Linked DNA regions of Arabidopsis thaliana. The protein of the gene in region 2 interacts with the protein of the main gene of each other region in a pairwise test. Each region holds a gene or a part of one and is shown on either strand. Other genes may lie near its edges.

What was found. Proteins that work in one complex are often made in the same cells at the same time.
Region 1: the proteins of AT4G12000 (region 2) and AT5G41800 interact in a protein complementation assay, tested with the Arabidopsis thaliana proteins (one large-scale study listed by BioGRID).
Region 3: the proteins of AT4G12000 (region 2) and AT1G54730 interact in a protein complementation assay, tested with the Arabidopsis thaliana proteins (one large-scale study listed by BioGRID).

Annotation. Positions count from the first base shown.
Region 1 is NC_003076.8:16,731,733-16,736,614, forward strand, and holds AT5G41800 (Transmembrane amino acid transporter family protein), read left to right. Parts: upstream 1-1,930; 5' UTR 1,931-2,109; coding exon 2,110-2,194; intron 2,195-2,265; coding exon 2,266-2,496; intron 2,497-2,768; coding exon 2,769-2,866; intron 2,867-2,956; coding exon 2,957-3,143; intron 3,144-3,228; coding exon 3,229-3,359; intron 3,360-3,440; coding exon 3,441-3,677; intron 3,678-3,766; coding exon 3,767-4,156; 3' UTR 4,157-4,361; downstream 4,362-4,882. Other genes in the region: CIP1 (COP1-interactive protein 1), read left to right, coding at 1-659.
Region 2 is NC_003075.7:7,192,032-7,196,969, forward strand, and holds AT4G12000 (SNARE associated Golgi protein family), read right to left. Parts: upstream 3,186-4,938; 5' UTR 2,912-3,185; coding exon 2,633-2,911; intron 2,310-2,632; coding exon 2,073-2,309; intron 1,994-2,072; coding exon 1,776-1,993; intron 1,683-1,775; coding exon 1,496-1,682; 3' UTR 502-1,495; downstream 1-501. Other genes in the region: AT4G12005 (uncharacterized protein), read left to right, coding at 4,675-4,722, 4,860-4,938.
Region 3 is NC_003070.9:20,422,735-20,430,366, reverse strand, and holds AT1G54730 (Major facilitator superfamily protein), read right to left. Parts: upstream 6,022-7,632; 5' UTR 5,897-6,021; coding exon 5,750-5,896; intron 5,652-5,749; coding exon 5,589-5,651; intron 5,005-5,588; coding exon 4,915-5,004; intron 4,815-4,914; coding exon 4,755-4,814; intron 4,656-4,754; coding exon 4,590-4,655; coding exon of another isoform or gene 4,566-4,589; exon of another isoform or gene 4,164-4,565; coding exon 4,098-4,163; intron 3,943-4,097; coding exon 3,867-3,942; intron 3,791-3,866; coding exon 3,726-3,790; intron 3,590-3,725; coding exon 3,497-3,589; intron 3,403-3,496; coding exon 3,322-3,402; intron 3,242-3,321; coding exon 3,157-3,241; intron 3,068-3,156; coding exon 3,024-3,067; coding exon of another isoform or gene 2,973-3,023; exon of another isoform or gene 2,319-2,972; coding exon 2,256-2,318; coding exon of another isoform or gene 2,238-2,255; exon of another isoform or gene 1,980-2,237; coding exon 1,920-1,979; intron 1,579-1,919; coding exon 1,525-1,578; intron 1,054-1,524; coding exon 994-1,053; coding exon of another isoform or gene 922-993; exon of another isoform or gene 709-921; coding exon 594-708; coding exon of another isoform or gene 577-593; and 4 more. Other genes in the region: AT1G54720 (early-responsive to dehydration protein-related / ERD protein-like protein), read right to left, coding at 6,613-6,743, 6,830-6,967, 7,440-7,536.

The DNA.
Region 1 (4,882 bases), on a different chromosome or scaffold from region 2:
ATGAAGAGACGATGGAGAGTTTACGTAACGAGCTGGAAATGAAAGGAGACGAGATCGAAACTCTCATGGAGAAGATCAGTAACATCGAGGTTAAGCTACGCTTGTCGAACCAGAAACTGAGAGTAACCGAACAGGTACTAACAGAGAAAGAAGAAGCTTTCAGGAAAGAAGAGGCTAAGCACTTAGAGGAGCAAGCATTGCTTGAGAAGAATCTCACCATGACACATGAGACTTATCGAGGTATGATCAAAGAGATAGCAGATAAAGTGAACATAACAGTAGATGGGTTTCAATCCATGTCAGAAAAACTCACGGAGAAACAGGGGAGATACGAGAAAACTGTAATGGAGGCATCAAAAATACTGTGGACTGCGACGAATTGGGTGATAGAGAGAAATCACGAGAAGGAGAAGATGAATAAAGAGATAGAGAAGAAAGATGAAGAAATAAAAAAGCTTGGAGGAAAAGTAAGAGAAGATGAAAAAGAGAAGGAGATGATGAAAGAGACTTTGATGGGACTTGGAGAAGAGAAAAGAGAAGCGATAAGGCAATTATGTGTTTGGATCGATCACCATAGAAGTCGTTGTGAATATCTTGAGGAGGTTTTGTCTAAGACCGTTGTGGCTCGAGGCCAAAGAAGAGTGTCGCAGCGAACTTAAGGACTCAGTGCCATGGTACGTTGTTTATCTTTCCCAAGCCTAGTTTCCACCTCACATGAATGCAAACAATGAAACAACATATATGTGTTTATTAGGTTTTGGACTCTGGTCAATCAAGAAGCTGGTGGAGAGGTATTTTTGGTTGGGGACTTTTGGTGTACTTGTGTTCGATTTTGTTGCACTTTTATATGTTTGTTAACTTTTGTTGTATTTTGTAAGTCAAAATTTTTGGTTTATTGTGGGCAAAGTTGGTGGTGGTTTTTATGGGAGGTCAGGGAATAAAGGGGCTCACACAAATGGAGTTGATATTTTTTTTTCTTTGGGCGTCGGATTGTATAGAACGATTAAATGCTACTGTTGGTATAGTGCTTTTGCTTGTTTGGAATTTGTTATAGTATCATCTTTGCTCTTTCATAACAAAATTATACACATCGCTTTACAGAGTTTCGTTCTCTCATTCATTTCTTATTTTATTGGGTTTTTTTTTTTTGCATTAGCAGTCGTTATATCTCGCCTTGAATTTCTAATGTGAACTAGTTTGAAATGTTTGAAATGTTTATTCTTTAATAGCAACCACTTTTTTTTCAAGTGTTTTTCACAACCGAAAAAGTCAGCCATGTGAATGATACACAAAATAAGTCAGCCAGTAAGGTTTGGTGATGTTAGATCAATCAAATATTTGAGAAAAAATTCCATAACTAGTTGATATTTCCTAAATCGAAGTTAATTGAAAATTAAGTACAATTTGGCAATATCTTAAATTATTAAATTTTAAATAGAAACTCTATTCACTTTTATGAGTTTATGGAAACACACTACTTTCTCCTCTAAAATCAGACAGTGATTATACTTTGACCTTAAAATTTGAAAAGAGTCTAACACGTTATAATTCCCAATTACTTTATTATCTGATTAATTCACCAAGATACATTAAATCTAAAATTATGTGATAGATATTCATATAAATCATATTGGATTATTCCAACAAAAAAAAAACTCTTAAAATTTGTTTCCTTATTTACAAACAATACATTACTGAAAATTTCTAAATAAAATATCAAAAAGTAATTTCAAAACCTTGTTTTGTCAATTTAATATTTTTATTTTTACAAAAAAAAATCTGAAACATGCAAAGAAGCACAAGTAAAGTACAAGTGGAAATGTATGAAAATAGGAATCATAAAACTAATTTTTTAATTTAATGATAGGAATCTGAAAAAAGCAAAATTTTATCACATCCCGAATAAAGAGGAAAATGCAAAATATGTCTCCTTTTCTCACTATGACAGGTTGTTTCTTTAAAGAAGCAACGGAATTTAACATTATAGCAAACATTAACTATCACCAGCTATCATGCGCCCACCTCTCCACCGTGCTCTCCATCATCATCATTCCATATATAAATCATTCACTTGTAGAATCTTCTTCTCTTTCACACTAAAATTCATCGATGACGGATCCTCCCAGACCCGACCCGTTTCCTGTTACCCGACTCGATTCCGACGCCGGTGCTCTCTTCGTCCTCCAATCAAAAGGTTAAACCCATATATTTATGATATCAATCTCCAATTTTGGAATTTTAACTGATTTGAGAATTAATTCTCAGGCGAGTGGTGGCACGCCGGATTTCATCTAACGACGGCGATTGTTGGTCCGACGATATTGACATTACCATATGCGTTTAGAGGATTAGGATGGTGGTTAGGGTTTGTTTGTTTAACGACGATGGGACTCGTTACTTTCTACGCTTATTACCTCATGTCTAAGGTTCTTGATCACTGTGAAAAATCCGGCCGCCGTCACATCCGTTTCCGGGAACTCGCCGCCGATGTTCTTGGTATCATTCAAAATCTCTTCTTTGTATTTATTAATTTGCTTTTTTTGGATAAATCCGTAAAGGTTGGATCGTGTTTCGATTTGGATACTTTGACTTCTTGTTAGATTCGCCATCATCACACGTGTCTTAGTTTACCGTACCGGTCTAGGTTAGGCCTGTGTATTTCGGTTTATAGATCGGTTTACGTCATAAAGTCTGGTCTTTCCGGTTATTGAGTTTTGGGTTTAAGGGCCGATTTCGAATTTTGAGCCGGTTATTGTGATGTGGTGCAGGATCTGGATTGATGTTTTATGTAGTGATCTTTATTCAAACAGCTATCAACACTGGAATTGGTATTGGCGCCATTCTACTTGCAGGTCAATGTCTTGATGTAAGAAAGAAACCTAAATTTTGATTACTTGTTAAACAAGGTACTATAAGAACCGTACGGATCATCCTCTGTTTTTGTGTTACTACACAGATAATGTATTCGAGTCTTTTCCCGCAAGGAACGTTGAAGCTTTACGAGTTCATTGCTATGGTGACTGTTGTGATGATGGTTCTCTCACAGCTTCCAAGTTTTCACTCTCTTAGACACATTAACTGTGCGTCTCTGCTTCTCAGCTTAGGATATACTTTCCTCGTCGTTGGGGCTTGTATCAACCTAGGTATAATGATTCTTACGTTAGCGAAGAAACAACAACTTACTAATGTTCGAAAATTTAGATTCATTGCCCAGTTTTGGTTCTACAGGTTTGTCGAAAAACGCTCCTAAACGTGAGTATTCTCTAGAGCATTCGGATTCAGGGAAAGTTTTTAGTGCCTTCACATCAATTTCGATCATAGCTGCTATTTTCGGAAATGGAATCTTACCCGAAATACAGGTGAGAAATGTTTGCAATTTATTCAATACAAACATTGTATGTTATGTGTTTGAGATTTATGAGATGATTATATGTATGCAGGCAACTCTTGCTCCACCAGCCACAGGGAAGATGTTGAAAGGACTATTGTTGTGTTATAGTGTGATCTTCTTCACGTTTTACTCTGCTGCAATTTCGGGATATTGGGTTTTTGGTAACAATTCGAGCTCTAATATCCTCAAGAACTTAATGCCTGATGAAGGACCGACTCTGGCTCCTATCGTGGTGATTGGCTTAGCTGTCATCTTTGTCCTTCTTCAGCTTTTCGCCATTGGCCTTGTAAGTTTATAACTAGTGTGATCGTTATTCGATGTTACTTGGCTGTGAGACGAGTGACTAAATGTTTCTTTTTTTTGGTAACTGGTTAGGTGTATTCTCAAGTTGCGTATGAAATAATGGAGAAGAAATCAGCGGATACAACAAAAGGGATATTCTCAAAACGCAACCTTGTGCCGCGTTTGATACTAAGAACACTATATATGGCGTTTTGCGGGTTCATGGCAGCGATGCTACCGTTCTTTGGGGATATAAACGCGGTGGTAGGAGCGTTTGGGTTTATCCCACTCGATTTCGTGCTGCCAATGCTTCTATACAACATGACCTATAAGCCAACCAGACGGAGCTTCACGTATTGGATAAACATGACGATAATGGTTGTGTTCACTTGTGCAGGACTCATGGGAGCTTTCTCCTCCATTAGGAAACTTGTTCTTGATGCTAATAAGTTCAAGTTGTTTAGCAGTGAAGTTGTTGATTAGATGGTTTTGATAGTGTGATAAAAACATAAACAATACTTGTTTTGTGGTTACACTTGTACATGAATTTCTCGAGTTGATTCATTATCACACAAAATGCAAAACCAAACTAGTTACAAAATGCAAAACCAGACAAGGATTATCACACTTACGTCAATTGTTCTTGAGATGAATATGTTTTTTTTGTTAAATGATTTTCTATTTAAATACAAAGTTCCTTTGGGTATAAACACTAAACAGATTACTGGGTTCAGTAAACTCTCTCAGAGTGTGTTAATTTTCAGTATTCGTAGCTGATTGGTTCGGTTTCGGACCGATTGGATATCCACCAATCCGAAATAATACATTACATATTATTAATTTTATGCTCAATTCGGATCGTGTAATTCAGAATTTCATATTTGATATAGTAAATTTCAAATAATTTTGATAATTCTGATCGGATAATTCGGATATTTTGGATTTCATCGGATAATTCAAATCCAAATAAGAATTAAAACCATACATATTTTGGTTTCGAATACACTTGGGATTCTAAAATATCAATAAAAACCGATTTAAGTCTAAAAAAATTAGAATCATAAAATTGTTTGGATTCTAATCGGATTCTATCAGACCTAATCTAATCTGATCCGATCCAAAATTCGAATGCCCAGACTATCACATACTATGGTCATGGATTTCGGAGCGGATACTCCAATCTCATTTGCATTTTGTCTTCTTCTTCTT
Region 2 (4,938 bases):
AGATGACAAATTACCATTAATGAGCAATGGATTTTATTCGCATGAAAAAGACACATAGATAGACTGTTGAAAGTGGTACCGAGTCAGAAGCATATATAGTTTAATTCAAACCAGAATATTCAGAAAATGCAAACTACATTAAGTCTTGACATGTAACTTTTTTACTGCTGATTGAATACACATACTTTAATCTAAAAGAAATATTTAGAGAATAAGACAAATATTTAATTTTGTGGTTCATAGGTAGGACAAAATGTAAATGGCTTTACATATACTTTTAGACAAAAGTGTTTCAAAGGATATTGGGTTTTGGACCAAAAGCATTTTTGAAGGGAATTAAGACAACATTTATTTCGGGATGAGAGTAGTTGAACATATTTGTTGTGTTATAGGACTTAGGAGAGCTTCAAATGCACCAGTATAAAAATAAAAAAAAATAAAAAAACTGAATCAATTATTGATCGATTCTTGTAAGTATATCTTTAAAATTTGAAAAAGCTTATGTAGAAAATTGGTTTATATTTAGCTTCATATTTTAGAATTATATATATTTCACATAAAGTTATTTCAATTCCACTTTGTATCTTATGCAAGAGACAAATGACTCGCAGAAGCACTTCATTTTCTAGTGTGAATTTTCAAGCAGAATATAGATGTCCAAATCCGATACTAGAAAAACCGCAGCTTCAAATCCCCAAGAACTCTCCATATAGTTCTTCTCCTCTTATCTCTCGCACTCTTCACTTGGGCAGATTCACACTGGTTTCACAAACCGCAAAAAAAAAAAAATGGTAATTAAAACAGTCTTTGATTAATTTTAGTAGAAATCCATTTAACAAAAGATTCGATTTGGTCTAGAATAACTCCATTATTTCAAATTGAAAAAATATAGATCATACATATTGTGATGAATCATAGCTAAGGTTTCTTCTTCAATTCCACCATTTAATATGTCGAACGCATAGCAATGTCGTACTCGTAGGCTACAAATAACTCTTGACCATTATAGTTCGAAAAAGAGACGCATTTGATTTTGATAGAAACAATTAAATGGCCATCTAAGCTATATTGGGCTTTTTCTCAATGCAGCCCATAATATTCGAAGTGCAAGTTTTCACTAGTCACCTACGAATATCTGACACAACACTTGCACTATTTACCAATTAGACAATTTCCAATCTTCATAGTTAGTTCATACTTACTAGAGAATATAAACGAGAAAACGAAGGAGGAGTAATGATCTTAAGTTTTCAATTGATCCATTCTTTTCAAACATCAAAAAACAAAAGATTGAGAAAACGCAAATAAGATTAAATCGTGTTAGAGAGTTTAGTTAGTGTTTATATAGTCATTATAATTTCTTTTATACCCTTTCATTTCTCGGCTATAAACAAACCAAAACAGAGACCAAAAATCAAGAGTTCTTTCACATCATGGACGAAAACCTGTACTTTGGGAATAAGCAGAGACATAACTTCTGAGGTTGTTGTCTCCATTACTGTAACAACAAAGCTTCCTTCTCCTTCTTCATAACTTCAAGCTGTCTTTTCGCATACTTAGTGATGAGAACAGTTGTCACAACAGTTGCTACAAAACCAAAAATGTTGAGAACAATTTGAAGAATCGAGAGACCCTTTTGTTCCGCAGTGGATGCATCTGCCAATGTCCTTATAAGAATCCCTCTGCAAACACCAAAACAAACAAAAATACTATCAGGATGCTAAATCAATCATTCATTCATTACCAAGAAAATTGTAAGTCATTTCCACACTTACGTATAAATTGCGACAAAAATCTCCGGCGCCATGCCTACGAGAGAACCAGCCATGTAAGGACCGAACTTCACACGAGTTGCAACAGCGCAGTAATTATATACAGCAAAAGGAAATGGAGAAATCCGGATTAAGGTAACTGCACGAAACTGATGAAACCAACTGCCTCCACCAGCAGCTCTCAACATTGCAGCTTGATCTGGATATCTTTCTAACCAACCCTGCAACATTCATCAATTTCAGCAACATACAAAGTAGTCGTTACTAAGAATATAACTGGTTCTTAAGCGAGACACATACTTGAATTTTGTTGAGGAAGAGATAGCTGATGAAGTAAGGAAGTGAAACACCAATAGCTACAGCTGGAAGAGTAAGGAGAAGGCCATAGAAATAACCAAATGTAATCCCAGCCACCCACATTGACGGCGTAGTTGGAATAAGTATCACAGGGAATAAAGAGACTGATGCAAACACAAGAATACCGCACACAGGGTGTGTAAATGTCTCCATCTCCCATTTTATGAGTGGGATTAGCTCCTGCAAACAAAAGTTAAATGGATAATCCCATAATCAGCAACAGAGCCAAATATGTCACTGACTGAATTTGTCACCAGCATCGAAAATCTACCGATTTTAGACACAGAACATCAACAACGAAACCTCACTTTGGTTATTGGATACTGAGCTAATCGTAGGGATACATAGTTTCAATTCACATGAACCAAAATCATAAAGGAACCTCTTTTATACACTAAGGATCTAATTCAGTAGTTGAAACTATAATCAAACCCAATAGATAAAGAAGAAGACTTTCAGAAGAAGATCAATTCAACAAGAAATCATTGGAGGAAATTGAAAACCTTATCCATGATTAAAGGGTATAGCCATTTGTAACCAGCGAGACCCAAAGCAGTTAGAAAAGTGAAGAAAAGACCAAGCTTGATCCAAAACCAAACAGATCGTTTCTGTCCACATGAAGAAGAAGAAGACGGTGATGATGAAGATTCTTGTTCTGTTTCTTGTCGATGTACTTCGAAATCTTCAGTAAGTTTAACATAATGACCTAATTTATCAACTCCATCTTCTTCAACTCTAACTCGAAATTCAGAAACTGTATCGTCTTCTTCGTGATAAGTCATCGAGTAGAAAAAAAGAGAGCGCTAGATTAGTAATCGACTGGATTCTCCGATCGGATTCAGAGAGAAAAACCCAGTGATGGAAAAATTGAATGACTCAACGAATCGAAAGAAACCTGGGGATGAAGGAAGGATTGAGAATAACAAATAAAGAAGATTTGTGTGATTTTGGAGAAAGATGAGTTTTTTTCTTTTTTCGGTTTGTTTGTTAATGTCATGGCTTGACGCATGTACCCATTCTTTTAAATTATTTTCTTATTACTTTATGATTTCTTCCGTCGTTACTTGCATTTTTTTATATTTTTTATTCAGTTTACCAAAAATTCTAGGAAATATAAAATAGTTATTTCACGGTTGACGAAAAATAATAAAATATGTAGTTTGAAAACACCTGGACCATGTCGGCATAAAAGCGTGTGGATATTGTTAGAAAGAAAAAAAATAATAATTTAAGGCCCCTACCAAATTTTACATTGTAAGATTTTAAGGTCTCAAAATAATTAGGGACAAATATTTTGGTGTAGTTGTAAAATTTGTTTTGATTGGGAGGTGTATATTATAAAACCAGATTTTAAATCCGTAATATACCGCATGATAATTTTTTTTTCTAATATATATATATATATATAAAATATAAAATTTTAAATTATTTATCTTTATATAATATTTTTTTTGTTTTGTTTACGATTGTTATTAAGTAACATATACCACGAATTTAAGAACAATAATTAAAACTTGAGGATTTAATTCGTATTAAACCAGCATATTACTGATATTTTAAAAATTTATAAATATTGATTCAAACTCATCTACTATAATCCGTTCCACAATATAAACCGTCTTGTAATCTCTTAACTCATCTCATGTAATATTTAATAAAAATATTAAAATTAAAAATTATTTATTATATATAAGTTTTTAAATTATATCATTTTCTGAGATATTTATATTTTATAATTTAATTGTTACTAAAAACATTATATTACTATATATATTTTATTTTATATAATTTTTGTAAATCAGACTGATTTATATGTATAATATTGATAGTATCAAAAAATAATAAATTTAAAACTTAAACTATATTAAAACAATATATTAATGATATTTTAATTTTTTTATTAATATTATTTTTAAAATTCGTTCCGTTAAATTTGTCTCGATAAGAATTTATTTATTTTATTAATATTAATATTAATCTGAATTACTATTTAAATATTATAGTTAATGTAAAATATTAAATACATATATTTTTAAATTGAATAATATATGTTGGTTTCTTACTAGGCATTACTAGACATTCATCAACGAAGTGAGATGGTGGCCATACACGTGGCCACAAATAAGGAGGTTAGCTTGTCGCGGGTTTCCCACTTTTTGAGCTTTTATTTTAATTTTATTATACGTGTTTAATTTCACCGACCAATAATCCACTGTGGTCGACATTCCGTATTCTCCGTGGACCCGGTTTTCGCAATTTCCCAATTTCCTCAATTTCGATTTGTCTTTGTCACCACAATCTGACGACGCCATCGCCGCAATGCCTTCCACCACCGAAACGGCAACATTTCCGATATCTTTCCCGCGAGCTACTTTTCTACTGTTCCGAGATCGAATTTTCTTCTTCTCGACTCGTCACAAAAACGCCTATTCTCACTTTCACCGCTCTTGGATTTTAATGGATATCTCTTGAAACCTCTCCGGCCATCTTCTCTTCGGCCATACTCTGAAATTTGGATTCCAAATTTATCAAAATTATAAATTTGATGGAAAAAAACGTGAAACAAGATTCACAAAGTTTCAGAATCCACGAGGTTGGTTGATCCAAGCAATCTGTTTTTCTTCTTTCTCCTGAGATTAAAGTGTTTGTTTAGAAATTGACTGTGCTTTGACATGTTACATCATTTTCTCCAGTATATGTTTAATCTTTGAAAATTGGTTTGGTATGAAGTTTCAGGTGACATTATGCCGTTTGAGATTTACATGTGAGGTTTATGCAACCATACAATGCACTCTGAGTGATTTGACAA
Region 3 (7,632 bases), on a different chromosome or scaffold from region 2:
GTCAAACAATCATTTTTTAAAATTGATTTTTTGCACTCATCCATGAAATCAAAATTGACCTCCATACATAACATTTTTGTAAGCGGTCTAACTATCTCAAAGAAATATTTTATAATTTTTTTGTAGAACCCAACATATATGTCCAAAAAAACTTCGAATATCTTTCACTGTCTTTAGAAGTTGTAAACTCGTCATAACCTCGATTTTTTTCCTCGACACCTTCAATTATGTTCTCCGATATTTGGTAACCAAAAACAACACCATTTATTCAAATTCACTAAGCAAAAAGGATGATACGATTATACCAAAAGGAAAGAAGAAAAATAAAAAATCTTACTTTTAATCGTTATAATTAGGGACTGATATTCTCGTAATCAACTACTATACATTACAATTCTACATAACCAATCGAATATTGGATTTCCTCAAGTGTGCGACCTTTGGTTTCTGGTACGAGTTTTGCTACAAAAATAACAGTAGCCCCACAAACAGTAGCGAAAACATAAAACGTTCCTGAAAATTTAAAACTTGTGCCACTATTAGATAAAGAACAAAATTTATTGATAAAAGCAAAATTTAAACAAATTTTATACCTGCCGGATTCCAATTCATTAGAAAGTTAAATGTAAAAGATATAATCCATGATCCGACCCAGCTAACAACAGTCACGAGGCTTCCGGCTGATCCTTTTATGTCTATTGGAAATATCTTTATCATATAAAACATAAAATTAATATCTACGCACCAACTAAATTGAATTAAAATGTTATATAAACAAAGAATCAATAAATAAATCATAAAGGAACATAATTTATATACACTGATCAAAATCATACCACATACAACCATATGAGAGTTAAATAATTTATTATTTAATTTTAATACTAAACCGTAGGTTTATGATATAAAGTTTAATATTTCTTAAGACATCGATCGGATTATTAAGTATAAGAGTATGTTTAAAACCAAAGAATTTTTATGAATGTTACTTACCTCTGACATAATGACCCAAGGAATCCCACCCATCCCTAATGAAAATGATCCGGTGTACACCTGAAAAAATAAGATAAATTTATCATTTATGGACGTCTACGATCTTTCAAAGTATGTGTGTGGGTTCTAATTTCATCCAATAGTTGGTTCGCTATCCCAGAAGCCACGAAATACTTGTTAATAACAATAATGATATTATTTGTTCTTTTCTAGTAGTTTTTCCTCACCGACATAGTATTCGGAAATTTGTTTTAGCAAGTCATTCATCGTAAAATTCCTTCAACTCAAACACGTCTACTATATAGTTCTTTCAGAACGAGTTACAGGAAAAATAAACGTATTTTGATGATATAGATGTGTATATCAGTTCTTCTATTTTTTTCATGCACCATCTTATTGGTACAGTCATTCCCACTTTCAAACAGCAACGTTTCAGTATGCCAAAACTATCATATTCATATCAACTATTTTCAAACTTTTCAAATTGAGGATAAAAAAAAAGGAAATCTAGATTTTAGTCGTCAAACTTACCAAAACGCCTGTAAGTGCTAGATATGAAGCATCTCCACTCAATTGCTTTACAAACTACAACAGGATGAACCCAAAAATTATAGTACATAATATGAAATTATAAACATTTTGAAGCATATATGCAACTACTTGAGAAGTTTTAATATTAATATACAATCAAACAATAAAAATTAATATTTCTAGATATTTATCATCTAGATCTAGACATAGATCGAGAAAATATATTAAATCTCTATTAGAAGAAAAAATTATAATTATGGTAACAATAAAGTCATATGGCACCACTGTAGACAAAAAATATTCAATTTTTATACTGATATTAATATACTAAAACATAATATGTTAAAAATAGATAAAATCAAGATATTATTTTAAAATATAAATAAGGAGAGAACCTGTAATGAAAATGATAAACCGACGAGGAAACACCCGATACATGTTCCAGTAGCAGAAATCTGAAGAGATAAAATATTAAATTCATTATATGTAATTCTTTCAACATATACATATTGACATATATATAGGGACTAGGGAGGCAATATATAATTATCCACCAATGTATAATAATAATAATAAAAGATAAAAAAACAATAATAAGTTGGAACTACAGTTATAACATAAATTCTTTAAAAACTTTATTTTTAATATAGTGAGAAAAGGTACTTGTAAAAATTACTTTGTATTTGACTAATAACATTATAAAAAAATGTTAGTCACTTGTTTTTTCTTACTAGAAGTAATGGTCGTCTTCCTGATTTATCCATCAACAGTACACCTAAAGTTGTCATAGGGATCTGGAAAGAAAATTCGTCTCAGCTACAAATAATTTTAAGAAATGATACATTGAATTTTAAATGTTAAACAATTATATATTAATTGTAATTATTTTGGCTTTTCAATTCAAAACAAAAGTGGATTAGACCATATTATTCATATATCACTCAACGTCTCATTTCTTTAATGTTAGGTATTTCTAACATGTTACCTTGATATATGGTTCCTCTACGGGTTTATCTCTCTATAATCTTGTTATAGGATAAATTTTGGGTCAGATTAATTTTTGTATTTGATAGGTAAACAAATGAAACTCAGATTAGAACGATTTGGTTTGTATCGGAGAAGCGTGTGTTCATTTTATAATTTTATGGTCATGATCGTTTAGTAGTCGCCAGTGATGGTCGTTTGGTAGTCGTTAAATTTAGCGACAGATCCAGCGACCTATCGCATCGATCAACAATCTCCAGGAATTAGTCGTCGCGACTGATCGCTATCCTGCTCTCTTCCTTCTCTTTCGAATGGAAACAATTCACACTCTAACATTATATATTCTCTTTCTTTCTCAGGTTTTTCTTCCCTAAAAATCCTTTAGTATAATTATATTATTTTTGTAATATATATTTGTATTAGTTGTGTTGTTACCCTATATAAATATATATTCATTCACTTAATTAACCATCAAAAAATTGGGGAAAATAAAATAATAATACCCAAAAACTTACCTGTACGACCACCATCGCAATCATTCCAATTTTGGAAGAAACCCCTACAAAACAAAAAATTAAGTTGGTTAGTGAAGTTCTTTTTTAATTTTTGGGGTTTAGGCACATTAATCAATATTAAAGGTGCATGTACCAGCAGATTCGAAAATAGAGCTAGCGTAAAAAGCAATTCCATTAACCCCTCCAAATTGTTGCAAAACCATCAGACCAACTCCCACCTAAAACCCACTTGGCATTTCATCATAGAATAATGAAAATAACTACTTATTGAACAATTTTATAAGTTAAAAACACTTACAACTAGAGATTTAGCATACTGTGGCTGGAACAGATCTACTATACTACCTTCTGATAAATCTGTAAGTCTTCGCGTATAATCCTAGAAAATATAGAAATACAGGAGATTTTACACTTTAATGGAAATTTGTAAAAAATGTAGTGAGCTCAAGAAATAGAATTTAGTGTTACTTTACTTTGATCTCATTAGACTCATATGAAATATCTGCGGATTCACCACGTAATCGTTGCAATGCAATCTCAAATTCTTCCCATTTGCCAACTTTTGCCTGAGAATTTTTGCGAACAATTATTTTCTATAACAATGAAAGTTTTGGGTTACTTAGCGTAATGATTGGATAGACTAGATTTGGCATTAGGTACATAAAAACTATTAAACTTGTAGTATGTTGACGGATAACGTACCAACCATCTAGGAGACTCTGGGATGACAAATAATCCCATCATTTGTACAACACATGGTATCATTCCTGGAGCATAAAAAAAAAATTAATTAACAATTTTTTAGTATGAGTAACTTATTTAAAGTATGTTGACGGATATTACCGATCAAAGCTAAAATTCGCCAGCCTATAAAAGAGCCCAAGAGATATGTGACTGAGACACCCAAACATATCAGTAACTGCAATGTTAACACTGTTAAAGATCGATGGAGATGAAAATAATACTTTTAGAGTATATATTTTGTAACTTCTGATTTAATTTTTAAAAACTAATTTAGTTCTTGTATAACATATTCATAAAAACTAATTTAGTTATTGTATAACATATTCATACCTGATGAACAGTTGTAAACCCACCACGAAGACCCTTAGGAGTGATTTCAGCTATGTATACAGGAACCTGATCATCGATTAACAAAACAATCTAGATGAAAGAACGATACAAAATCTACTGTACTATAGCTAGCAACAACTTTCAGCTACATAAATCGAAGAAGTTATCTTTTCATTGTGTTGTTCCTCGCATGCGCAATTTTAAGCCGGAATACCAGCTAGTAGTACATATGAAATATCATACTCTTGGGGGCAACAAATAGTTTCAACATATAATCTAGTATCTAATATGACCAATATAGCTTTCGTTTTAAGAAATTAACAATTGTAGAAGGCTAATGTTTATTGTAAATAGATATATAAGAAAAGTAGAGATATATTTATTTAGATCATTAGGTCACTCATCTTACAATTGATCATCGAATTTGTTTTCTTGTAATCACCACAATATTTTTCATTATTCAAGCTACTAGCTAGAGTTTATAGATTTTACCACAAACGAAAAAACGCCCATTCCATAACCAACCAAGAATCTCCCAACGTCAAGCCAAATTGCAACCTTAATAGACAAAAACCACATGGTAAATTTTAAGTACTTCTTGAAGAAATATAGTTGATGAGAAATACAGAGAGATATATAGAAAAATACTAAGCTAACCTTAGAAAGGTAGATTGCTAACCAGCCGAGAATGCAAAACATCTCCGAGAAACCCATAGTCTAATCACACACACACACACAAATAAATGATTTATTTACCAGTTTGACGCAAAAATGTAAATATTCGCTTGTCATGGAAAGAAAGAAGAACAAATTTTACAGCTCGTCTGCCTATCATATCGGCGATTCGTCCACTCATAGCTGCGCCGATCATTGCTCCAATTGTCAGAATCGAACCGAAGAGCGAGTACTGCATGTAGTTTAAAAACATTTATAGGTGATATATCTTGATTTTTACGATGATGTTTATATAATTTGTCATCTTTCGTAAAGGTATGCTTATTTCTTAATTTTCTACTAAATGATATTTTTTCCACACCTATAAACCTTAAATCAAGACGGAGAAAAAAAAAGAAAAAAAATTCTAACCGAAATAGAGATCATAATTAATAGCCGGACACAACTAATTTATCTCAACATGCAAGCATTTGGAGTAGGACCAGTACGTCTACAGTACAAAAATTCAATTCTCCACTCATTTTTTTTTCCGTCAATTCTCCACTCATTATTAGTACAAAAATAGTGAGATAATCCTTTAAATTTTAATTCTCCACTCATTATTTTCTTCTAGTATCATAACCCTTTCACAACTACTTGCCTCAATTAAAAAAAAAAAAAAAAACTACTGCCTCAATCCATACTCATTGATTAGATCAGTAACTAATACTATACACATAAGTTAAATGTACTTAAGTATATTTTACCTATCTAGCTAGCAAACAAAAACATATGGCATAATAAATTAAAAGACAAAAAAATAAAATAACAGTTTACCTCTGCCACAGAGAGATTCAACTCCTTGGTTAAATCCGACTGAACAGGTGATGAATATCCTATCTGCCAAAATTTTCAACGAAATTAGAAATTAAGATTCAAACACAAAACACAACACACAATTACTGAACAAAAGCAAAAATTAGTAATTGTAAACTCACAGCTGAGCCAAAGACAAAGGAACCAGACACGGCTACAAAAGTGGTGAGCAAGAGAGTAGTTGTTATTGTCGCCGATGAGTCTTGATTCTCTTTGTTAATAAGTGAAGTTTCAGGAGCAAGATTAGCTTCATCGATTTCTCCTCTCATTTTCTCTTTCCTTTTTGTGATTCTATCTTTCTTAGTGAAATACTTGAGTAAAGACAAAGTAGAGTTGTTGGAGAGATCTCAAGAACTAATATATAGAGAAGAGATAAGGTTATTTTATTATTTTGTCTTTGTCTTCAAGTTGTTATTATATATAGAGAAAAAGTGAAGAGTAATTCACAAATATATATATGCAAAGTAGTCAGTCGTATGTAGTCGTTTCATTTTCATGTGTAGTAAGTTTATGCGTTTGTATTTTAGTGGTTTAAACAACTAGGTTTATGTCTTCTTTTTTTTGTTTTTTCTTTTCTTTTTTTGTATTTTTAGTTTTGATTTGAATTTAAGATCCTAGAGCATATGCATTGCAAATATATATTATCTTTTAATAGGTCTATGAAACTATCTGAAGCACACACTCTATAGATGGGAACAAGCAAAGAACCAAGAAGAGAATAACGAGTTCGAGTAAGAAGAAACTAAGACCAGTAGCAATCGAACGGGTAAATCTCTCTTGAAAAAAGTTAGTCCTTCAACGAAAAAGAGGAAAGACATACGTATTTCATGAGATTTATAATGGTAATCGACCAGACGATCAATCATTTATCTACTTCTCCTTTAAGGGTTTGCCCAATCTGAATCGGTCGATCCGGATACACTTATATTTTCATATAAATACTATCATATAAGAACTAAAATCCTAAGCTTTTCATATATAGTTTTCACTTATGGTTAGTTGTAGTAGCTATTAGCAAGAGCTCCACTGCTCCGCCATCAACAGCTCCAAGATCTGAAATGAGATCGAAGCAGAGCTCAAGTTCAGCTAAAGAGTCAAAGAAAGAAAACGACGTCGCTCAGCTTAACAAAGGAAAATGGTTATTGGGCCACTCACCAAACAGGCCCAATGACAACACAACCAACACAACAACGAAGCCCAACAAGTGTTCTTCCTCTTCTCAACAGACAAGACCACCACCTGTGCAAGAAAACAAATCAGAGTGAAGACAGAGAAGAGGAGCGTCTGTACGGATCCAATCAACACAAAGAACAGATTTGGTTGTTTGGTGACCTCCGAAGCTTGATAAGACAGAGACAGCTGTCAGTTTACAATCATTGAAACCCTAGCATTGTTTAGCTATAAAAGGGAACCATGTTGTAACCTAAAGATTAAGTGAAATAATACAAAGCAAAGTTCACTCAAAACATTACCTAAAGTAGCCGTCTTGCTCTTACTTTCAGTAGCCTCTTAGATCTAAACTCTTTTGGGCTAACATCACTAACATTTATTCAATTGTTTTAGAATTTATTGATAATCTTTAGTTTTCTTACATTTTGTATTTTAATTGTCATAATAATTGAGTAGTCTCATTCATAGGTGATCGTTAGGCTAGATTAGGGTGTTTAATGTTTGATTCATGATATATAGTTGCATAGTCTCATCACTTAGAGAAGAGCTCAATGCTAGTTAAGTTGACCCCTGTTGATTTAGATCTTTCATTTCACGCCTAGAAGGTGTTAAATAAAATGCTTGAACACTTTCTGAGTAAACTGGATTCAGGGTAACCATCTTCATTTGGGTGTTTCCTTTCTCTTATGCTGAGACTCTTCCTGAGTAAACTGGCTTCCATGCTCTTTTGTCTCTCCATTGTTGTTGTTTCTTTTTTCTTCTGATGATCATACTCTTTCTTTTTGTTTAAGATACAGTTAAAGAGAGAGATAGAGTAAGAGACTTAAGAGGATAT